3 linked regions of the Tribolium castaneum genome follow. Each later gene encodes a partner of the first gene's protein in a complex. Links are inferred from orthologs where the notes say so. Each region holds a gene or a part of one and is shown in the gene's direction. Other genes may lie near its edges. The genes, in order: Hpr1, thoc7 and thoc6.

Region 1 (8,910 bases):
CTAATTTGTCCGGCAAGAACCACGTGGAGGTTTAGAGCATTCTTGCCAGGAAAAATGGATATAAGGATGAGGTAAACAATGATTATTTCAAATGAAGGGAATAAAGGAATTATTGGTTTGTGAAATGAAAAAATAGTACACAAAAATCAAAGCTTTTTCACTTGGCGTTAAATAAATGCTCTTACCTTTATACTGCATCTGCTACCATTTGTAGCAAAACCTAAAAAATAAATTAAAAACACAACCAACAAAAAAATTAATTTGTAGGAAAGTTACAACAAGCGACTTTAATAAATATTATACAGAAAAAAGAATACACAATACGGTATAATATATGGCACACAAGCTATTAAATCAACACATCACAAGATAAAACGCAAAAAAATGCACCTACCTTCATATGGCTTCTGCGTTGGCTACTGTTTGTAGCAAGACATTTAAAAAATTAAAACAACACCAATAAAAATCTTTATTTGCATGAAAGTTACAACAAGCAACGTTTGTCAATATTAAACAAAATAAAAAATACACAATACGTTTGAAATTATTGGTTTGTGAAATAAATAAATACGACACAGCAATAAAATACACCTACCTTCATATCGCTTCCACGTTGGCTACCGTTTGTAGCATTAAAAAAAAATAATAATAAAAATGAAACCAAAAAAATGTTTATTTGCATTAAATTTTGAGCAAGCCACTTTCATTCATTGAAATTAAAGACAAAATTACGTGGCAATAAATTATTTGAGTGTTTTATTTTATTTATAGTTTCTGTATCTAAAATGCGTCACTCAAAATGTCACTTTCAACACCGCATTTAAAGATTTTAATTGCAATTAAGTTTTATGAAATTATTGGTTTGAGAAATAAATAAATACGACACAGCAATAAAATACACCTACCTTCATATCGCTTCCACGTTGGCTACCGTTTGTAGCATTAAAAAAAAAATAATAAAAATGAAACCAAAAAAATGTTTATTTGCATTAAATTTTGAGCAAGCCACTTTCATTCATTGAAATTAAAGACAAAATTACGTGGCAATAAATTATTTGAGTGTTTTATTTTATTTATAGTTTCTGTATCTAAAATGCGTCACTCAAAATGTCACTTTCAACACCGCATTTAAAGATTTTAATTGCAATTAAGTTTTATGAAATTATTGGTTTGAGAAATAAATAAATACGACACAGCAATAAAATACACCTACCTTCATATCGCTTCCACGTTGGCTACCGTTTGTAGCATTAAAAAAAATAATAATAAAAATGAAACCAAAAAAATGTTTATTTGCATTAAATTTTGAGCAAGCCACTTTCATTCATTGAAATTAAAGACAAAATTACGTGGCAATAAATTATTTGAGTGTTTTATTTTATTTATAGTTTCTGTATCTAAAATGCGTCACTCAAAATGTCACTTTCAACACCGCATTTAAAGATTTTAATTGCAATTAAGTTTTATGAAATTATTGGTTTGAGAAATAAATAAATACGACACAGCAATAAAATACACCTACCTTCATATCGCTTCCACGTTGGCTACCGTTTGTAGCATTAAAAAAAATAATAATAAAAATGAAACCAAAAAAATGTTTATTTGCATTAAATTTTGAGCAGCCACTTTCATTCATTGAAATTAAAGACAAAATTACGTGGCAATAAATTATTTGAGTGTTTTATTTTATTTATAGTTTCTGTATCTAAAATGCGTCACTCAAAATGTCACTTTCAACACCGCATTTAAAGATTTTAATTGCAATTAAGTTTTATGAAATTATTGGTTTGAGAAATAAATAAATACGACACAGCAATAAAATACACCTACCTTCATATCGCTTCCACGTTGGCTACCGTTTGTAGCATTAAAAAAAATAATAATAAAAATGAAACCAAAAAAATGTTTATTTGCATTAAATTTTGAGCAGCCACTTTCATTCATTGAAATTAAAGACAAAATTATTACGTGGCAATTAATTATTTGAGTGTTTTATTTTATTTAAAGTTACTGTATTTAAAATGTGTCACTCAAAATATCACTTTTCAACACCGCATTTAAAGATTTTAATTGCATTTAAGTTTTATGAAATTATTGGTTTGTGAAATAAATAAATACGACACAGCAATAAAATACACCTACCTTCATATCGCTTCCACGTTGGCTACCGTTTGTAGCATTAAAAAAAATAATAATAAAAATGAAACCAAAAAAATGTTTATTTGCATTAAATTTTGAGCAGCCACTTTCATTCATTGAAATTAAAGACAAAATTATTACGTGGCAATTAATTATTTGAGTGTTTTATTTTATTTATAGTTACTGTATTTAAAATGTGTCACTCAAAATATCACTTTTCAACACCGCATTTAAAGATTTTAATTGCATTTAAGTTTTATGAAATTATTGGTTTGTGAAATAAATAAATACGACACAGCAATAAAATACACCCACCTTCATATCGCTTCCACGTTGGCTACCGTTTGTAGCATTAAAAAAAATAATAATAAAAATGAAACCAAAAAAATGTTTATTTGCATTAAATTTTGAGCAGCCACTTTCATTCATTGAAATTAAAGACAAAATTATTACGTGGCAATTAATTATTTGAGTGTTTTATTTTATTTATAGTTACTGTATTTAAAATGTGTCACTCAAAATATCACTTTTCAACACCGCATTTAAAGATTTTAATTGCAATTAAGTTTTATGAAATTATTGGTTTGAGAAATAAATAAATACGACACAGCAATAAAATACACCTACCTTCATATCGCTTCCACGTTGGCTACCGTTTGTAGCATTAAAAAAAAATAATAATAATATTGAAACCAAAAAAATGTTTATTTGCATTAAATTTTGAGCAGCCACTTTCATTCATTGAAATTAAAGACAAAATTATTACGTGGCAATTAATTATTTGAGTGTTTTATTTTATTTATAGTTACTGTATTTAAAATGTGTCACTCAAAATATCACTTTTCAACACCGCATTTAAAGATTTTAATTGCAATTAAGTTTTATGAAATTATTGGTTTGAGAAATAAATAAATACGACACAGCAATAAAATACACCTACCTTCATATCGCTTCCACGTTGGCTACCGTTTGTAGCATTAAAAAAAAATAATAATAATATTGAAACCAAAAAAATGTTTATTTGCATTAAATTTTGAGCAAGCCACTTTCATTCATTGAAATTAAAGACAAAATTATTACGTGGCAATTAATTATTTGAGTGTTTGATTATAATTTTATTTACTGTATTTAAAATGTGTCACTCAAACGCGATCACTAGCCACCGAATTGAAAATTTAAACCGGAAAATTTAGATTTGCTTGAACACACGTCCGTTCGCGACAACGGCAAGTAACAAACTGAATAAATTGAACGAAACCGCACAATACACAATAATTTAAATAAACCGACTCACCTCGCTTCGCCTCGCCTCCCGCTCCCGCTCCCGATCTGACCCGTACCACTGCTCGCTGTCGACTGAACCGCCCTCGCCGCCTGCGCCGCACACCTAACCTCGGATGTGACGTCATCACACGTCTAAAACAGGTCATAACCAGAAACATTCACTGTCCAAATCCGTCAAATTTAGAAACATTCATACACAGAATTATTCAAAATAGAACAGTATTGATCTAGAAAAATTAATTATGACAAATGTATTTGTCTATAAACGTCTAAAATTATAAAAGTTTCGCATGCAGTTAATGGAAAAATAAAAATGCATGTTTATATTTAAACAGAAACTGGCAATGTGAAATTTTAGTGCGAAAATTAGTGGTAGAGCTCGGAAACTCTGTAAACGACCACGATAGGCGGAGCCAATGCGTACTTCATCGAGTGAGGAGATTGAGCAGTGGCGTAGCAAAAAACCATTCTATGATCAAGAAGGGTTTGAGATTCATAATTTGTAGTAGTTAAAATTTCCTCTATTCAATAATTGCAAGATGAAATAGTAAAAATCATATCTAATGCTAATACACGTTGATTTCCTAGAAATACAAAGCAGAGAGGTCGAATAAATAAAAATACACAATGAGTAAAGAGTAAAAACGCGTTTATTGCAAAAAATGTTTCTACTGGTATCTTTACTATAACTGGTAATATTGAAATGTTAAACTTTAAGACGAATTCCCTACACATGTAAGTACACGCCACGCCACTGTTTTCTGCCAACACCCCTAATTTAAAGATTGGACTCGTCCGAGACGAGTTTTCGTATCTGCGCACTCCTACCACCGTGGACGATCTGTCATTTCGCGGACTCTAACATTATTTTTGACCTTTGACAGTTGTTTACAAGACGATTCCGGTCGCTTATTCAAGTATTTCACACGAAATTGAGCGTTTTTCACGTTGGGGGCCCTCCAAGCGTTGCATTTAAGCAATGGGGGGCAAATTCGAGTCGTTACGGGTCGAATACCAGGTGGGCCCCGACATAACCTCAAACGCCACTTCTAACCCGGTTTTTAGGACGTTTTACGCAAATCTTTCAAGACCAAAACCACCGATTTGATCGAAACTAAAGCCAAACACTTGTCGAAGTCCGCCATCGACCTTAAGGCCCCTCTGGACCAGGCGTTCCGCGACGTCTTACTCGAACTCCTTGAAAAGGAAGTCAACGTCTCAGTCTTACGCGAGTTGGTCGATTTTAGCGTCCTAACATGTCGCAAGGAACTGAGCAACCCCACAATGCCAGTGATGCTCCTTTCGGACATTTTTGACGCCTTAACGCTGGACGCCTGTCAGGAAATGTTCCTCTACGTAGAGAACAATGTCGAAGTGTGGAAAGAGAACTTGTTTTTCAGTTGTTGCAAAAATAATTTACTCAGGTTGTGTAACGACTTATTGAGGCGGTTATCTCGGTCCACGGCGACCGTTTTTTGCGGCCGAATTCTCCTCTTTTTGGCCAAGTTTTTCCCGTTTTCTGAACGTTCAGGTTTGAATATTGTGAGCGAATTTAATTTGGAAAACACGACAGAGTATGGCACGGACTCGAGCCAGGAAAAGGGGGGCGACGTTGACGGCGACGAAAAGAAAAACGTGATCGATTTCACGTTTTATTGCAAGTTTTGGTCGCTCCAGGATTTTTTCCGGAACCCCAACCAGTTGTACACTAAAGTGCAATGGAAACTGTTTTGCACCGTAATTATTTTTGCGCATTTTAACCGATTTTTATTATTTTTTTTAGTACGCCACGAGTGTCTTTAACACGTTCCAAGGCCTCAAGCTTGAACACGTGGAAAATAACGGGAGCTATTGTGACGAAAGTAAAAATAAAATGTACTTTTCCAAGTACCTGACGAGCCAAAAATTGCTCGACTTGCAACTGTACGACGTCAATTTTCGGCGCGCCGTCCTGTTGCAGTTTTTAATTTTATTCCAGTACCTTTCATCATCCGTAAAATTTAAATCGTGAGTCGGTTTCTTTAAACTAGACGCACCTTTAATTTATTTTTTTAGCGAAAGTTTCGAGTTAAAGTCGGACCAAAAAGAGTGGATCCAATCAAGCACCGAAAAAGTCTACAGTTTGTTACGCGAGACTCCTCCAGACGGTAAACGATTTGCCGAAATCGCCTCAAATATTCTAAGTCGGGAGGAGTATTGGAACGCTTGGAAGAACGACGGTTGTCCCGAACTGAAAAAATCGGTGGTTCCCACGGAAAGCCCCGACAAGCGCCGAACCGAAGAGCGCCCTCTCTTAGGCGACATCATTAAACAGGCCTCCAGTGAGGGCAAATACTACATGGGAAGCACCGAACTGACCAAACTGTGGAACCTATGCCCCGATAACTTGGAGGCTTGTAAAGGCCGAGAGCGCGATTTTCTCCCCACACTTGAGGATTATTTCGCCGATGCCATCGCCCAAATCGAGTCACCTGGCGCAGTCAAAGACGAAGACAATTTACTGAAAGATGGGAATTACGGGTGGCGGGCTTTGAGACTCTTGGCTAAGCGCAGCCCCCACTTTTTCACCTACAGTACTGTGATTATGAACCCCCTGTCTTCGTATTTGGAGATGATGGTCAAGAAAATAGCGCATGATAAGCCAGGTCGCGTGACCGAAAATTCGCAAGAGTCGCAACAAAACGACGCCGAGGAAGAAAATTTGTTTAAGGACACGCAAGTTGATGAAAACACCGAAGACATCAAACCGTCCGAAACGGAGGAATTTATGGACGATAAGAACGCGCGAGTCGAGCATAAATTAAACCCGAACCAGTTGCAACTCTTCAGCGAGAAAGTGGCCCCCAATTGGAAAAAACTAGCCAGCAAGTTGGGCTTCAAAACTGACGAAATCCAGTTCTTCAGTATGGAAAATGAGAAAGAGGTGGACCAGGCCCGTAATATGCTACAACTGTGGTTCGATGACGACGAAGATGCCACTTTGGACAACTTCTTGTACATTTTGGAAGGGTTGGAGATGGAGGAGGCGGCGGAAATTGTCCGAAATGAAATCAATTCGATGGATTCCTAACTGTATTTAACTCGTTTCGCCCTATTTTTACTTTTCAATTTGCGTTTCATATGTAATTGTTTGTGATCAACCTTGGGACAGTCCCGTTTTTTGTGCCCCGGTTGTTTACAGTGGAAACAATCCTTTAATAAAATTATTAAACCTTGAATTGGGAGTTTGAGACTGACCTGAGTAAAGACCAAGTCGCCGCATTTGTGGTCCGGTTGGCAGCACCGACCACATTTTTCGCAGTGCTGCCAACTCGGTTTAACGCACCTTGCACACATGGGACAGTGGGTGTACGTCCGGCCGTCTTTCGAGGTGCATTTCTGGCAAATGGGGCAGTGTTTGTTTTCGTTTGAAACCCATTTGTTGCACTCTTGGCAAAATTTGTAGCCTTCATTCGCCGGAAGGACTATTTTACTACAATTTTTTGTCCCGAAAAGTTCGTAAAAATCGTCGGCTTACCTCGGGTCCACGTTCGTGAAAATTCGGACGGGTGACCCAAATTTCCGCGCCTTAGCGCCGTCTTGAAACAAAGGATGGTTGTCATAGTCGACTTTATAATCGAGCATGGAATAGTCGGGGAGGCTGTTTAGTATTTGCGGTTCCATAAAGTAGGGGAATACCCAAAATACCGACAATTTTGTTTTTTCATTCAGTTGATTGTATTTTTCGCTGATTTGTTTGATTGTGTGGGCTAAGGGCTCGACCCGACCCCCGAAAGGTGGGTCTAAAATCAGTACGAGATCGCTGAAAAAAATAATTAAAAAAAATAGACGTAGCGCTTTAATCACCTCTCAGTTTTTAAAAAATCCTCAAACACTTGTTGAGACTCGGGGAGAAAAAAATGGTTGTTGAAACTATTGTACCAACAAAATTGCAACGGGCCGTAAAAATTGTGATACCGCGAGTCGAAATCTAGTAAAAGTGTGTCCATATCAGGGCACTGATTTGTGATAAATTCGTGGATCCTGGGGGTCCCCAAACTAATAACTTTGCGGTAATTTAAACTTTTAAAAATGTCCACGATCACACGGACCGAAGTCAGTGAAAATAAAAACTGTGCCTCCTTCTTTGCGTCCTCCAAAGGGGGCAAAAACTCACTCGGATGTGCAATTTCATAATCACTAACTGTTGTAACAAAATTATGTTCGGTATGTTTGTCCCAGAATTTTTTCAATTGGAAGCCGGCACACGTATGGCAGTATGCCCTATCAGTTGGGGGTAATTGACGCATCTAAAAAACGCACTCAAACAGCCGAATCATTTTTTAAAATCTTACTTGGTTTAAAGTTATAAATAATTTTCTGTGGTCAATATTCCGAAGAAATTTTTCACGCTCGTTTTTCCACCCCTCAGATTTGTATTTATGTTTTTCGTCTTCGTACAGAAAAAAGGGGCACAGTTTGCGGTCCCTGCAGGCCGAACAGGCGAAAAAACGTCTCTTAACCCCATTACTAGTACGTGAAAAAAGGAGGGTGGGGCCGTGGGAGCACCAGGGGTGGCTTTGCAAGTCGTCAGTAATCACTTCCACGCCTGACATACCTTTAATTTGTTGTTATTTAAGAAATTACGAACTGATTGAATCTAACATAACCCTACTTCTTGGCACACGAGTGCCACTGCCAACCTCAAAAAAAAGAAAAATTTAAATTTGAAAAAAAAAATTAAAAAAATATCGATTGTTCCATTTATTTTAAAGTTCCGGAAAAAATAAATTACAAAACTAATTAAAGAAGACGTTTAGGAAGATAACTACAGTTTTTTCCAATCTTGTTGATTATTTAAACGGTTTTTCTGGCATTTATTTGGTTCAGATTAATTAAAAGTGAGTCTATGAAACTTCACTCTAATTGATTAATTTGTTATGTATCTGTAATATTCAAAAGTAGGTAAATTATTAGCTTACAGTGCATAAAAAAGTGCGATAATTGGGATAATTGCTTGTCTTTGAACGGCCTCCAAAAGTCGTTTTACCACCTTTTTGTTGAAGAAATTTGTTTTGCCTTCGAACCAAATAAATTATTTCTTGTTTTCGATAAATTTATTTATATAAACTGATGAACTTTAATACAATTTTTGGAAAATTTTAGAAATGTTAAAGCACCAAGCTGACAAAAGCAGTTTTCAGTGTTTAAATAATTAATAATACTACTTGAAAACCTTTTATTTGCTACACCTATAACAATCGATAAACGAAATTGGCTAATAATCGATATTTGTGACAAAACACTTGGTACAAGTGGATTTATCTAGTATTAAATATTTTTCGTTTATAAATAACTTTGTGGAGTGTTAGCCTATTTATTGTTACGTGAACATAACTCAAGCCTGCAATTTGTAAAAATTGTAAGTTAAACCATCATTCTACTAATATTTATGCCCCTAATAAATCTTTTACTCGACTCATATTCTGTCGAAAGTAGTACGTAAGA
Region 2 (7,409 bases), on another chromosome or scaffold:
ATAACTAAAGTATCCACGTTTATTAAAAATGTGATTTAAATAATGAATCAAGTAGTAATAAAATAATAATAAACAAGGAAAGTACACCGTTATCAGTCATGTTTACTTTGGTGTACTTTACCCTTTATTAATTTTTTCTCATTAGACACGTGAAATCACCTAGAGTAAATATAATCATCAGGTGATCATTCCGTTAGTACCTGTACCGATAGAAACCAGATATTAAATATCTTGCAATGCTTCAAGTTTGATATAATTGATAAAATATAAATAAAACAATATTTTAAAGCTTAATTAAATATGAAACTACGAGTTACGTGTCTAAAAAGTAAAAACTATTTAGACTGTTTATTGTAAGATTTACCGAAAATTCATCTTATTTTTTTGTTTTGAATTTAAATTGTGATGACCTTTCTAGACCTTTCTGTTTTTTGTCAAATGCACATCGCGTATGAAATACTCTAATAGCGATAAAAAATTTTGAAATATGTCTATCCAAAATAATAATAAATAAATTACCCAAATAACAAACATCATTAAAATTGAAATTAGAAACTTTTTGCTTTTTTGTGAAAACAGAAAATAGCACAAGAAATAACTTGTGGTAGCAAAAACTGGAGCAGATTCACTTAAAATGTAAAAATCTTTAATACATAGTTTATTTTTTGTTGAATTTTTTGAGGTATTATTGTGTTTACAAAAACGGCCAAAAAATAGCTTGCGGGAGCAAAAAATTGCACAAAAAAAGCTTTCAGGAGCAAAAACAACTCAAAACAAATAGGTTGCGACAAAAAAAATGCACAAAAAATTGCTTACAGGAGCAAAAAACGACACAAAAATTTGCTTTTTTGTATTTCCGGGACTAAAGTTGGTACTTTAGAAGCTTAAAGTTCGAGGGCTGTCGTTATGCAACGAGCGTATGCGAGACACCTAGACACCTGAGAACTTTAAGCGTTTTTGCATAAATTATTATTCAAAATTTTTTGTTTTTGTTTAAATTTAAAACACGTTGCTATGGAAAGCGTGTTTTAAAATAGTGAAAACATTCGTAGCCGATGACAAAATCACCAAAATACGTATTATTTAATAAAATAAATTATAGTCATATTTTTAAATGATTTACGCTTTATAAGCTTTTGTTATATGCAACCATTAAAACACTTATCTCAACATGTCCTCTAATTGCTATTTCTAGTAATTTTTGGTTTAGACTTTCGATGCAACTGTTGGCAAGTGCCAACATTTGACAATTTGTGTCATAACCTCAAAAAATACAAATTTTTCGGCGTCCACAGTGCAAACAAATCCGCCTTAATGAAACAAAAGGACAAACGTGGTACCATGTCGGATGGTAAATACTTCCCTTATAAAATTACTAGTGTGTCCAAACAGTAAAACTTCTAGAGGACATTATCAAAAGAAAGTTACTCATAGACGGTGACGGAACCGGCGACGATCGCAGGCTCAACGTAATAGCAAAAACTCTTCGAAAATGGGCAAATTCCACCGAAGACTCCCCCTTAGAGAACCAAGCAACCCACGACAAACTACTAGCACAATTAAGCCTTTGTGAATACTCAGTCAGGAGATCCCAACTCCTCACAAGAACCACATCGCGTCAGCTTGAAAACTACAAAAAAATTTACGACAAATTTGAACAGCAAATCAGCGAAGTAAAAGACTCAATCAAACAAAACAAAGACAACTTAGTACAAGCCAAAATATGGAAACAAAACCACATGATGTACGATTTGTTGGCACAAAGTATTGCCGAACAGCCAGCACGCAAGGAAACAAACGAACGCCTTTCGAACTTACAAGCGGAACTGAAAGAGTTGCACAAGGAAAAGGAGCTGCTGGAGCAGAAACTGGACATGAGGAGAAAACAATTTCACGTGCTGGTGTCCAGCGCCAGCAAATTACAAGCAATGTTGGAGGAGTCAAACGAATATTGCCATAACGACAGTCTACTTGAGGATGTGGCGGACAGCACAGGCCCTGAACCCATGTCTGAATAATTTAAGTTGGTAAAAGTGACAATTACCACGGTTACTTAATTTATGTTAGAAAATCTGACAGTTACCATGGTTACATGTCATCAGCTATGTTATTTTAGGCGAATAAAAGCAAGTACAAAAATTATTTGAATAGTTTTATTTTAAGCACCTTAGTCACATTTCTAATGGTTAGAGAAACTCTCGTGTCTCTTTTGACTTTATCGCCAATGGCGTATTGTTTCTCACAATTTAGTAAATTTGCACAGCCTTCATCAATAACATCAGTTTCAATTTCTCTAATGGAATGGAGGTATTTAGCGTACATGTCGTCTTTAATTACAACTAGACTACACCTTTCGAGAAGTAATTGGCAAACTTTAGCACGACTTTCGTTATTTTCTAAAAACTCTAATACTGTATGAGAGCCACACGAAATGGTGGCAATAGTGGGATAAAACAGTGGCCCATCAGTGTGTGGCATTATGCCTTGGCCGGGAAGATATTCGTTGATTAATACTTGATTCGGTTTGTTTCCCTCAAAAACGTTCAATTGAGCGACTTTTTCCATGTATTTCGTCAACCAGTTTGGTATTGCTTCCGGAATCATGCCTTTCTCGTGGGGCACGCCCCCGTAGTCTTGCAGTCTTCGTTTGGACAAACACGTCCACTTTGGTTTGGGCACTGAATACACATTTTTCAAAATGTGGGCCTCCTCTTCAGGTGTTACAAAATTTGGAATGTAGTAGACAGTCGGAGGGGCTTGTAACACTTGAAAACTGCTCAGATCCATCGAACACACAACAGTAAAATAAATACATGTAAGAATTTGGAACAGAAAAATGGGGCGGAGGGCTAAATCTAACTTCAATCACAACAGTTGACATACATTTGACATTTGGTTAACCTCAAAATCCTAAACTGTCATTGTGACAATTATGATTTGTTGTGCTGAAATGAGTTGTTTTTAATTCATTTAAACAGTGTCATGTCTTTGGTTAATATAGTTTTCCGTTCACGTAAATCCTCTTTGACAAAACTCCGCATTTTGAAGAATCTTAAAAAAGCGAGACACTTTTCGGTCGGTGCTTTAATTCACCAGAAAAATGACGAACACATTATGCATGTGTTTGATAGGAACACCAAGAGTTTGCAAAGGGAACGGGCGGCTTCCGCACAAGACGCCAATTTGTATGATTATTTGAAAGATGAAATTGGCTATCGACTAGCAGACAGGGTGTTTGATATCAAACGCAAGTTTAAACTGGCCGCAGACATTGGTGAGTTTAAGTTCATACAGGAAGAGGAAGGTTAAACCTAAATTAGGTTGCAGCAGGGGCTACGTGTCCAAACATATTTCACCAAAATGTATTGAAGAACTAATCTTATGTGATATGAACCGCTTTAATTTAGACAGTGTTCAAGTACAAGAGGGTATTAAAGTTAGGAAACAAGTACTAGATGAGGAACACATTGAGGTGATTGAAATTTCCTGATCAAAGTAGTCTCCGACTTTAAAATTAATAAGTTGGCGACAATGACGCCCTTGTCAGCATACTCATGTTGCCAACCTATTAATTTCAATGTCTCAGCTACGGATCTCTAAATGTTAGGATATCAAACGAAGTACAAGTAATAAGTTCCTTGATAGTTCCGTTAATGTCGCCAGAGAGCGGCAGTTGTTCCATTGTAAAGTTTAACCCTGCATTTTTTACAAGTTATTAGGGAGTTGGTTTGATTTAAATCCTGCAAGTTTGTATCTCGTTTAGTCTCCTAGCCATAATCCTCTGTAACTGGTTTAAAATATATTACATTCAGTTTGAGCCAAACTCCCTTGATCTGGTTATATCAAGTTTGAGTTTGCATTGGGTGAACGATTTGCCGAACGCTTTTAAGCAAATTTTAAAATCGCTTAAGGAGGATGGTGTTCTTCTTGCGGCGGTTTTTGGAGGAGATACTTTATATGAGTTGAGATCTTCCCTCCAGTTGGCTGAATTAGAGCGTCGTGGAGGCATTTCTCCTCACATATCTCCATTTACCGAAGTTAGAGATATTGGCAATTTGTTGACAAGGGCTGGCTTCACAATGCTCACTATTGACACTGATGAAATTGTTGTGAATTATCCTACTTTGTTTGAATTAATGTGGGACCTTAAAGGTTAGGGTGATTATACCGGGTGACTATTATCACAGTGTTTCCAATATAGTATTTTGTACAAACTGTTATAGTCACCCGGTGTATTATTATTGTTTTTATAATGTGAGTTTTTAGGAATGGCAGAGAGTAATGCTGCTATTAATAGGTCGCTTCATTTGCACCGAGAGACTCAGTTTGCTGCAGCAGCAATTTACCAACAACTTTACGGTAAAACTGATCCTGAGACGGGGAAAACCACAATACCTGCCACTTTTCAAGTGCGTACCAAATTATTTTATTTATCTAATTTGTAGTTAATCATTTTTAGATCATTAATATGTTAGGGTGGAAGCCCCATCCCAAACAACCTAAACCACTAGAGAGGGGAAGTGGGGAAGTATCATTAAAGGATTTGTACAAATTGGATGAAATCATTAAAGAAGTAAAGAAGATCAAAAACGACGATGATCAGAAGAATTAGTTTAAAGTCATTAGATAAAATCTAGTTTGGTTTGTATATTTTGACATGAAGTTTCTATATTTTATTGAAGTGTTGAAACGAAAACGTGTCTTTTTACACCTAGTCGTCGTGCATTTGGATAACATTTAAAACATAGCAAACAACAAACTACAACAGATAGAGAATTACATTCCCATAAGTATGATGCAAAAATTTTATCGTAAACTATATTAAAAAAAAATCAAACTTTCACCAATTTGCACGCTGCGAATTAAATCCTACAAAAAAATCCGTGAGACTTAATTTTTTTGTTGTATTTCTTGTAGAAATTTGTCGTCAGTTTTCCTTAGCCTGTTAAGAGTGAAAAGCTCAACATTTCTGCGTTTTTTGTAGTTATGAGTGAATTGGTTGGATTTAAAGTAATTTCAAACCATGGCCTCCTTGATGTATGGAGCTTTAACAACCTCCATACATCAAGGAGACCATGACATGCAGAGATGACACGGTAAAGTTAAAAGATTTCTGTAAAATTGCAGTTTCAATATTAATATTAGTATGCGTTAGATGGTGACATCTAGGTTCCAGGTACTAAAGTATAATTTTACAGAATTCTATAAAGAAATGTGCATCATTTATGTATACTTTTTAAAATAGCGGATTACAGTAACCTGTAAATTTTTTAGTATTACATAGTTTAATAAATAATTCCAAAACCAAAATTTGTATCAGGATCACGAAAACGCAAGAAAATCTTTACATTTTTTCACTTCTTTGAATGCTTGTAATGCTAATACACATTTTGGTTTAAAATTATTGCAGAATTATTTTATTTAAACTTCTGTATAGTTGGTTGCCTATATAACTTGTCAAAGATTGCAAAATTTTAGAAATTAAATTCGTAGTGAATCACTGGAACCCCAAAAGGTCTAAAGTCAATGTTTCTGTGATTTTAATAAACATTTTGGTTTTAAATTTTTGTTTGTTTAAGGTTTTATGGGCTTGGTTTTAGGTTGTGAGTTCTCAAGGGCAATTTTTACATTATCTAGGAGACTCCAGGGCCATTATTTACTTGGGAATTGTATCCTGATTTTGGTCATCATTGAAGAGTTTGCTCTTATCGCATTTTATGGTACTGAAAGAATAAAATCCGACTTTGAATTTATGTTGGGGCCCAATTTGCCGATCATTTGGTTGATTTTTTGGTGGTTGACGACCCAAAATGGTTAATGTACTGGATGGGATTTATACAGTCACTAAAATGGATGGTTACACCACGGTAGATGTGAGTTTAAAATTTTTGGGCCTGGTGTATATTTTAATTTATGTTTTGTGCAGAAATTTAAAGCTTTGTTTAAACGGGCGCACCCAATTTTGCAGTTCACTTGGATGCAGTGGAAGAGTAAAGCAAAACAAAACGAGAGGGCACTGGAGAATACAGGGGAACGCGAAAAAAGCAAATCAGAATCGAACGAGTAATGGATACTGAGTATGTGGACCCCTACTACTATTTGAAAATGAACAAAATAAGATTAAGCCTCCAAGACTGGTTATAAGTTGTCGAGGACGCAATTCATAATTGTTTCAGTTCGGAAGAGGTGCTTTTAGGAATGGGCCATATATTATTCCAGACACTAATATAACGCATGTTTGCCACAGGAGGTTTATTGAAAGCGAAGATACCACAGAACTGTAATTTTTCCGAAATTATTTTTGTATATACCGACTTATATACCAAGATATTACATACTTATTGTTATTTATTTTGTTACAGTTTTTTAATAAAGTGTTAAAATTGTGTTTTTTTTTATTTTCCTTCATTAATAACTTTTACTCAATTATCTAAATAATTATCAAGTTAGGCAACCTAAACTTTTGCTTGTACAACTGGTTGCATAATGTTTGCATTTTTTAAATTTTGGGGTACAACTATCAGGGGTATCCAAATAAGTAACACAAATGTAAAGATTTCTTTGTCTTTCTCTCATGGCCTCCTTGATGTATGGAGACAACGTCGTTGTTCAGGCCTGGCGCATCGATAAGCTTCAGCGGTTTTTTCGAGACCGTAGATGGCGCCCTATTTAGCGCACTGACGTTTATCTGACAAATAGCATTTGTGAGGTTAAATCCGACAAAAAAATTGAATTTAACAAGTACAATTAGCAGAAGAGAAGGTGAAAAAGAGCTTACAATGTAATTGTAAACAAATACAACAATAAATACAAAAACTCAAAAAAATTAATAAAGTAGTAGATTTTTTTCGGGAGTTTGGTGATTCACGAGCGGTGCGTGAGAGTGAGCAGAGGTCTAGACAGGGACTATAATTAACTATAATCTATGGCAGGGACTTTGGAACGGACGGTCCAGAGATACTCCAGCAGAGAGTAACGCAGCAGAGGAACGCTGGATCGAGCTTTTTTAAACCATTTCATTTGAAAAAAACGACATTCTTTGTACATTTTACTAAAATTAAATTAACAATAGCAGGTTTTGAAAATACGTGTGTGCAAAATAGTTTCATTTGCCTAAACAATGTATTGCAAATATCTGCTGATTAAAAGGTTGCAAATACCTTTCAGAAAACTTAAGCCATGTCTTAAAAATCACAGATTTGTAACGCATTCTACCTAAACCATTGGTAAAACCATATAGTATGCCTAATAAATGAAAGGTACTTTGAAACATCGTTTTCTTTAATATTTATAAACGATGACGAACCACCAATTCACCCTAAAATAATTTGTATATCTTCTGAAGCTGAAAATAAAAAATCCTAATGATCGTAAAATGATTTCCTGCAAGAGTTACACTATCCAAACGT
Region 3 (8,102 bases), on another chromosome or scaffold:
ATGTAAAATGAGCCGTAGAATTCAATAGAACAAACCGCAATGCTCTACGACTTTTAGTTTTTTTTTAATGAATTTTTTTAGTGAAAAACTTTGATCGCCTCTGTAGCCGGAACCGTTGCCCGGAGCGGCTCCGGGTTTGGTCGAAAAATAGAAAAAATTAAGCGCTATCGGATGGTTTTTTGTTCGTTGCTCTAAGTCTTACAGTTTCCGAGAAAAACGCAAAAAAAGGTTTCCATTTTTACTTTTTTTCAATTTTCAACCGCCGATTACGGCCAAACTAAAAGAGCTAGGAGAAAACTCTTTTTTCCATCGTAAAGAGCACATCAAAATCTATAAGATAGGATAAGTTTTATTCGATTCTGAGACACTTTTAAAATTGACCATTATGTAGGGTGGTGTTAACTTTTTTTTAATTTTTTTTATTTTCCCAATTACGACTAAACTCTTTGAAAAAGTGGAACTGTTTTGATCCTCACCTATACAAAATGATCCGGGGAATCGATTGGCATCAAAAAAATTGCCAAATTCCCAATAGTTTTTTAGTTATGAATTTTTTAAAATTTTACCAATTTTTGCATTTATCTGCAATTTGCTCAAAAACTATTAGTCGGAGAACAATAATTTTTTTTGAAAAAAATAGATAATTCAAAGAGCTTTCCAACGATAATACACTTCATGGGGTTATCTCTGATAGTTCCGGAGCTATAGCTCAACAAATGTTTCGGGTACCCGAAAACGGCGAAAATCGCGACAAAAATTGAAAAAATCAAACATCAAAAAATCAAACAAATGGACTTTTGTTGGACTTTTAACAACTCTAGTGGGTTGTTAAGACATACAAAAGTCCATAAAACTTTGCTAGAGTGAGTTTAAAAAAATTGTTTAAAAAACATGAGCGTGTAATGTAGGGAAAAAGTAAGAAGAAATAATGTTCCAGAATCATCCCCTTCGTCGCAGCGGACGCCCTCGACTTGGAAAACGAAAAACACAACGTAATCCACCCCCAAGAGCGTGTCACCGATATCTCACACACTTACAACCTGTTCTCACCCCCTGTGGAAACAGAGGGCGGATTCATCCCCAAACAACCCCCGATTTTGGACAATTTGTATGACGAAATTGTCACAACAACAACGACAATTTCGCCACAATTGCGTGAAATTACTTGCATTCTGGACGAACAAGAAATCAATCATGGAGAGTCAATAGTTTCCGAAACAACATGCAACACTTGTGGCTGTTTTTACGGCAACATTGTGTGCCAGAAAACCATCTGTCCTATACCGAAAATCGACTGCCAGAAGTTTTTATTACAAGATCCGACTACGTGTTGCCCACTTTTTGCATGTGGTAAGACCAAATCACCCAATTGAGAATATTTGCGTTAGTCACTTACCAAAAAAAGTCAAAATCTGCTACCACCAATCACTAATACGCAAACAAGGAACGATTATTAACACTTTAAAAACGGCGTTACACAAAAATAATTCAAAATTTTGACCAAAATCACGCTTTGAATTCGGATTTAACAAAACTAGAAGATTTGACAGTTGGCGGAGAAAATTACAAGCGCGGGAGCGCTACCAACCTAACAATACGCAAAAGTTAGTGATTTTAGCGTTTTCAGGATATTTAAAATACGGAATGATTTTTTTTGCGTTTTTCCAGACAATGAGCTCCCGACTGTGGTCCTGGACCGCATGGACTCGCCGGAAACGGTGACTCCGGACCCGTTCCGGGACGTGATCCGAACCGAGCCCGCCCCCAACCTCCAATCGCTGATTGTGGACGTTTTAAAGCGCAAAACAACCACCGAAAAACCGTTCAGTTTGGACAAAGTCTTGCAATTGTTGTTCTCAACCGAGGAAGAAGTTACAACAACGACGAGTACAACAACAACTTCCACAACAACACAGCGACTTTCGACGACCGAATTCGACTCAAATACGGTCGACTCCAGCACTTCAAACGTCGGAATTTTGAAACTGGCGGGCTGTAATATTTACGGAAGGATGTATCGGGTCGGAAGGATAATCTCCGAATTGTCGAATCCTTGCTTGGAGTGCAGGTGCACTGAGACCGGGGTGCAATGTCGGCCTTTGAAATGCTAGATCTCACTCACTTTATACCTAAGAAAGTCCAGCAGAAAGGGTTCAAATCAAAATAATAGTTTTTGAAAAAAATTGCGAAAACGTGGAGTCAACGAATATTTTTCAACCTCGAGAATTAGTTTTACAGACTTTTATTTACATAATTTTACTAAAAATGTTCTTTTGTTTGTTATTTTTTTTATTGAAATTAACAGAGATAAGCTGAGTGGAAGTAGCTAAAGTATTTTGATTTAAAGGCTTAGTGACTGGACTAAAATACGTATTTGTTCACGTATTGTAGTATTAATTTAATTCAATTTAATTTAACTCTCACAACCGCAATCACCTTGACAGGTGCCAAGTACAAATTTCTATTTGCCATGGAACACGTTCAGATATTCTGCCGATATTTCATTACATCTAATTTAGTTTTTAATTATTTTGGTTAATTATTACGTGTGTGATATTGGTCTTGTAGGATTTTTTTACCAAAAATTTAAACGAATTTTTTAATTGTTTTGAGCGGATAATAAGGTGAAAAAATGTAGGTAAACTGTAGGAAATATCAGACAATTTTTATACACTGCAATTTGAGGCTATTCAACCAACTTACGTTTTATGTAATTATTAAAAATAAAAATCAAAGAAATGGTTTTGTGTTTATTCTACTGGCCTTTTTTATTTTATTATTTTTTTATTTTATTGCTCTTAAAACGTCATGGCCACCCTAATATTTAGGTCACCATTGACGGAAATACAAAAATAAGAATTTTTTCGCTTACTTTGATAAGTAAACATAAAAATGTAAGAGTAGAAAATACGTGCAAGTTTAAACTTTAAATGTAAATAAAAAAAATACATACATATTTTGGGGCATATTTACAATTAAACCAAACTAACAACATTCTTATCTTGTTTCATCGATTTTATCACTTTTATCTGGCATTTCGCTTAAAACCGGTGCAATTACTTCATTAAATAAATTGTCAGTAGGTGTATCAATTACAGAGGAGTCATGTCTAACTATTTTCACTCTCCTCGAGAGTGAAATACCTTCTTAAACGCAAGTTTTTTGTTTTTATAACTTTAACTATTTATAGTTGGTTCAGTTTTATTCAAACTGTATGCGGAGTAGATGCCGCATAATAATTGCTCAAATAGTACGACACAAAATCGGGCCTATTTCCCTCCACTTTCGGACATGTTCCAGTAAGTACCTAATTTATTATCACACACAATTTTAATTAATTAAGTTTTCGACCCAAATTTGGTAAATTTTAATTATGCCACCGTCGCAAAAAATCCAAGTGAAATTAACCGACCCCATCGACCCCTTAATCGAAACCGAGCAAGTTTTTATCCCCTTTCCCTTATCACAAGAAGTGAAGAAATCGTCGCAATGGGCCGCTTGGGCAAGAAACACACCTTTCGGTATTTTGTCAGTCAGTGTTTTAGAGGTAAACCAGATTTTTGCATTATTTTTAGCTAATGTTTATGGTAATTCACCAGATAATCTTCTACGCTGCCTCGGATGAAAAAACCCAAAAACTGCTCCGCTTCGAACCGCACAAACTGACCGAAATTTGGCGATTCGTCACCTACATGCTTTTGCACGAAGACTGGATCCACCTGACTCTCAATATTTTCATGCAAGTGCTTTTCGCCTATTTTTTAGAAGCGCGACACGGAAGCGTGCGGATTCTTGTTTTGTACGTGACCGGGGGAATCACCGGAGTCTTGGGAGCGGCCTGTTTTCACCCCGACTTGGTCATTGGGGCCTCCGGGGGCGTGTATGCGCTTTTAATTTCGCACATTTCCGATATTTTTCTAGTAGGTATAAAGCGAGCGAGAAACAACATTTTTGTAATTTTTTTCAGAACTTTGAAACCTTGAATTACAAAATCTACAGATCTGCGTGTATCGGAATAATCGTCATTTTCGACATTATCTACAACGTGTTACATGCCAATTTTAAAAAGGAGCCTTTGATATCGTGGGGGGCCCACATGATCGGGGGCCTCGCAGGCCTGTTTTTGGGTCTAGTGCTCTTCAAGCAAAAACCGTCAATTGCACGCACACGGAGATTAGTTTTATTTTTGGTGGGTTTATTACTTTACGTAATTTTATTGATCTCGCTTGTAATAATAACCGTTCAGATTAAAAAATGTACTCCGAAGGATGCCATACGCAAGCGGTATGTTTATTTTTGCTGATATTTTTTTTATAACGAGTGTTTGGCTATAAATGTGCGGTAGCAAAGTAAAGCGTGAAATTACACAACTTATAGATGTTTGCGGCTATTTTTAGACGTTGGTTTTGTAAAAAAGTGAAAAATAAACGATTAAACAAACTGCTGCTTACTTGGTTGCACGCTCATCACAACACCACTAGCTCAACTGAGATTTTTTTAACGTTTTTAACACTTAAATCTGCGTTTTCTCGTTCTTTTTTTATATCTATACAAATATGTGTACGTTTTAAGGTATATTTTTTACGTTTGTTTTAGAGTTTATAGTATAATATGTTTAATTATGACATAAAAAAAACATAAATAAAGTTAGGTATGCAACTAACTTAACCGCGTTGCATGTTAAGTTGCCTGTATTAAGTCGATTGAGGTTATATTGTTTAATGTTTGGGGCTGTATTTATGTTAAATACACGTTTGCGCCCTTTGTAATCGTATAATTGGTAATAAAACCAGACTTTGTACAGTAATATTGCCTATTAAACGTGCGTTTAATTCACAAAAAGTTATTTTTTCTTAACCTCAAAATGGTGAACAAGTTGAATAAATCGTTCTATAACACTGTTTTGAGCCAGACTTTCACCCCGTGTGGCAACTATCTCGTCGTAGGTGACATTTACGGCACAATTTCGGTCTTCCAGTAAGTATTAAGTAACTTCCAGCAGCCCCCTGAACCCCAGTTCCAGCCTTTCCAAGCTAACAAACCAAGGATCTTCGATCACAAAAGAAGACCAACTGCCCAAAAACGCATTCACGATTAAAGAAGACGTCCAAATCAACAGTTTATTGACCATGAAAGCGTTCCTTGTTGTGGGGACAGTTGGCGAGATTTTGGGGTACTCCTGGAAGAACGTCAAAACGAGCAAAAAACCCTCCTGCTCGTGGACAATTGAAATCCCGAACTCCAAAGACAGTTTCGACAAACCTGACGTTAATTGTTTAGTGTTTGAGCCCGAAAATAATTTATTATTTGCCGCCTGTGGCGATAATAATGTTTACGTTTTCAACATCGAGACACGAAAAGAAGTGCGGTGTTTTAAAGGGCACAAGAATTACGTTCACTGCATCAATTTCTGGTAAGTGATTACAGGAACCTGTACTTTGGTCACATGGCATTTCAGTAACAATAAACTGGTTTCGGGGGGCGAAGACGGGCTTGTGCTGCTATGGGATGTGAGAGGAGGCCCCCCAGTGAGCAAAATCGAGCCCCACAGTAGGGATAAAGTGGCCAGGGTGGAGCTGGGGCCCTGGATAGGGGGCGTTGGGATTAACGATGATTGGCTGGTATGTCAGCAATTTTGGGCGAAGTGGCCCCCCTTAAATGATTTTTTAGTTGTGCGGCGGCGGCCCCCGACTGTCTTTATGGCACTTGCGCTCCCTGAATATCGCCACAGTGTTCCCCATTGACGATAAAGGGATTCATGTGGCGGAGGTCTACCAAGACAGGATTTTCGCAGGGGGGCGCTCTAATTTATTCTACCAAATGAGTTTTAACGGGGACATTATCACGGAAATTCCGACGTCTCCTGTGACCACGTACAGTGCGGTGCATCAGGATGAGCCCTTCCAGACTTTGTGCATTGCGGGGTCGAGCCCCAAAATCGACGTTTGTAGCAACTTTATCTACAAAAATTTGCAACTATCTCTGTATTAAGTCTTTAGTAAAATAATAAACCATAAATAATTCGTCCAGAATTTGAATTTGACAGCTGTCATTGATGCTCTTTAGGTTAGGATAAGGTACCGTTAAAGAGTCAAAAATCGCTCGAATGTGACCCCAAATCGTTTATAACCCTTATTATTTTTTTAAGAACAATTAAGTTACAGTATGGCCAAGTTTGAGTGCTCAAATTGGCGTATTATTGTGTGAAATCGCAAATTTCATATTTAAGTTGGCAGGACTGTATTAAAAGACAATTTAAACTGTTTGAAATAAATTTTTAATAAATAATTTGTACAACTTTTATTTACAAAAATCCGTGTCCGGCTATAACCGCCGGTATGAACCCCTCCTCTCCCTCCTTGTTGCGCACCCAGAACCACCCCGGCACATGGGTACCCTGGAGTACCACAACGTCGCCTTTCTGCACCTGAAGGGCATTTTTTTCGGTGCCAAAGTAGTCACTGTTGATGACTAGGAGTGTTTGTCGTTGGATTTTGCCACGTTTTGAGGATGCCAAAGCGCTGAGGTAGAGTCGATCGACGCTTCTTTCTTCACAGGTGCTTGAGGGGCGCAGTCTTCGGCTGTGGCAGCGCGTCTCGACGCTACATTCCGACTTGGAGCTGAGTTTTTCGGTGTCGGTCATGTTGCCGGAGGGTTTAGGGAACACATCGGTGCTGTTCTCCCAGCAAGGGGCGGTGGCGTCGTCCTCAGGGGGTGGGATAATGCCTGATATAATTTTTTTGATTTTACCATTTTAACAAAATTTTCAAAAATTAAAGCTACAAACAAATCATTTTCATTGAAACATTATTGCACAAATTACCAAATTATTAGTTACCTAACTTACAAAAAAAAATTATTATTCTATTAAATGTTCAGAAAAATACTCATATTTTACTCATCATATCAGTTTTTATAGTGAAACCTTTAATTTAAGCAGTCTATGACTTTGACACACTATAAGTTGAACTTTGCCAACTTGATTTAAAAAAAAACACAGGTTACTTGATTTTGACTAAAAATTGCTCGATTTCGCTCTTTTTTGAGTCAAAAAATTAGGAAAAAATCTGTTTATTACCTAGTGGTAAACAGGCCGCATAGCTGACATACCCCTCCTCGGCATGCGGCGTCTGCACATACAACCAGTGCTGGTTTTTAAAAACGGCATTAACCACCATCCCCAAAGGCAAGGCAATTTCGGCTTGGTATCCTCCGACTCTCGTCTGGTAGAGAATGCTGGGGAAGGCCAAGACGACCGGAATGTTGGCCGGTTTTTCAATCGTGGCCTAAAATTTACCCACAATTAGCTTTGGTTGTCCGAATAGGAAAAAAAACACACACACACGATCGAGATTAATAAGGAGATTGCGACGACCCTACAATTATCGTTCGTGGGTGGATATTGAACAGGTGTTTTCCACGATTTTGTACCCCTTGACCTGAGTTTCCGAGGCGTTTAATTGCCCCTCTGACAAACTAAACACCACACGCTGGAGGAGGATGTGAGCTATGGACCGGTAACTACAGACCGGACTCCTCCTCTAACCAGACTTGTGAATTATAGCCCACGGAACGCAGAAATGACCCCAGGCAAGTGTACACTTCGACGATAATCGATTCATTTTCGGAATTATCGGAGATGGCTGGGAAACAAGCGGACAAAACAGAGAAAAGTTTGTTTGGCTGCTAGATTATAACTACTAACTATTGATTCCTTAGCAAATAATTCAAGAATTTTGAACTATTTTTTTATTTTTGATACTTAATACTAATAAGTGATTATAAGACGAAAAATGAGCCGCTGAATTCATTGGAACAAACCGCATTGCTCTACGACTTTTTTTATTATTGTGTTAACTATTTTTATTGTGTTAACTTTTTTTAACTTTTTTTATTTTCCCAATTACGACTAAACTATTTGAAAAAGTGGAACTGTTTTGATCCTCACCCATGCAAAATGATCCGGGGAATCGATTGGCATCGAAAAAATTGCCAAATTCCCAATAGTTTTTTAGTTATGAATTTTTTAAAATTTTACCAATTTTTGCATTTATCTGCAATTTGCTCAAAAACTATTAGTCGGAGAACAATAATTTTTTTTG

What was found.
Region 2: the proteins of Hpr1 (region 1) and thoc7 are in contact, whole or in part, in a cryo-EM structure (PDB 7APK), measured with the Homo sapiens proteins. The link is inferred for Tribolium castaneum from reciprocal best matches to the Homo sapiens genes THOC1 and THOC7. Residues at the interface, in NP_005122.2 of Homo sapiens: Leu10, Arg14, Glu46, Gln53, Arg56, Glu60, Ile63, Ile64, Asp99, Asp102, Cys103, Leu104, Pro105, Arg146, Gln151; in NP_079351.2 of Homo sapiens: Tyr47, Gln51, Leu54, Ser55, Ser58, Gln59, Phe62, Gly65, Lys66, Leu69, Val70, Met73, Arg76, Glu77, Asn80, Ile84, Ile88.
Region 3: the proteins of Hpr1 (region 1) and thoc6 are in contact, whole or in part, in a cryo-EM structure (PDB 7APK), measured with the Homo sapiens proteins. The link is inferred for Tribolium castaneum from reciprocal best matches to the Homo sapiens genes THOC1 and THOC6. Residues at the interface, in NP_005122.2 of Homo sapiens: Ser227, Pro229, Ile230, Asp231, Tyr232, Leu234, Arg236, Val270, Ser273, Tyr274, Asp309, Leu312; in NP_001334633.1 of Homo sapiens: Leu57, Ser58, Ser59, Glu60, Pro312, Glu313, Lys315, Thr330, Asn331, Gly333, Tyr334, Ala336.

The regions. Positions count from the first base shown.
Region 1 is NC_087399.1:4,611,052-4,619,961, reverse strand, and holds Hpr1 (THO complex subunit 1), read left to right. Parts: upstream 1-4,300; 5' UTR 4,301-4,402; coding exon 4,403-4,441; intron 4,442-4,488; coding exon 4,489-5,160; intron 5,161-5,206; coding exon 5,207-5,430; intron 5,431-5,478; coding exon 5,479-6,493; coding exon of another isoform or gene 6,494-6,615; 3' UTR 6,616-6,641; downstream 6,642-8,910. Other genes in the region: rRNA N6-adenosine-methyltransferase ZCCHC4, read right to left, coding at 6,490-6,615, 6,661-6,895, 6,941-7,225, 7,270-7,712, 7,758-8,018. UniProt on the Homo sapiens protein: Component of the THO subcomplex of the TREX complex which is thought to couple mRNA transcription, processing and nuclear export, and which specifically associates with spliced mRNA and not with unspliced pre-mRNA.
Region 2 is NC_087397.1:9,556,814-9,564,222, forward strand, and holds thoc7 (THO complex subunit 7 homolog), read left to right. Parts: upstream 1-1,193; 5' UTR 1,194-1,314; coding exon 1,315-1,351; intron 1,352-1,404; coding exon 1,405-2,018; 3' UTR 2,019-2,139; downstream 2,140-7,409. Other genes in the region: alpha-ketoglutarate-dependent dioxygenase alkB homolog 6, read right to left, coding at 2,140-2,787; arginine-hydroxylase NDUFAF5, mitochondrial, read left to right, coding at 2,983-3,274, 3,321-3,472, 3,813-4,152, 4,267-4,409, 4,460-4,612. UniProt on the Homo sapiens protein: Component of the THO subcomplex of the TREX complex which is thought to couple mRNA transcription, processing and nuclear export, and which specifically associates with spliced mRNA and not with unspliced pre-mRNA.
Region 3 is NC_087395.1:25,797,381-25,805,482, forward strand, and holds thoc6 (THO complex subunit 6), read left to right. Parts: upstream 1-4,683; 5' UTR 4,684-4,864; coding exon 4,865-4,977; intron 4,978-5,023; coding exon 5,024-5,413; intron 5,414-5,458; coding exon 5,459-5,621; intron 5,622-5,670; coding exon 5,671-5,991; 3' UTR 5,992-6,023; downstream 6,024-8,102. Other genes in the region: DNA oxidative demethylase ALKBH2, read right to left, coding at 4,452-4,467; uncharacterized protein LOC662691, read left to right, coding at 938-1,350, 1,669-2,111; protein rhomboid, read left to right, coding at 3,374-3,547, 3,600-3,920, 3,968-4,303; uncharacterized protein LOC103314375, read right to left, coding at 6,305-6,726, 7,111-7,286. UniProt on the Homo sapiens protein: Component of the THO subcomplex of the TREX complex which is thought to couple mRNA transcription, processing and nuclear export, and which specifically associates with spliced mRNA and not with unspliced pre-mRNA.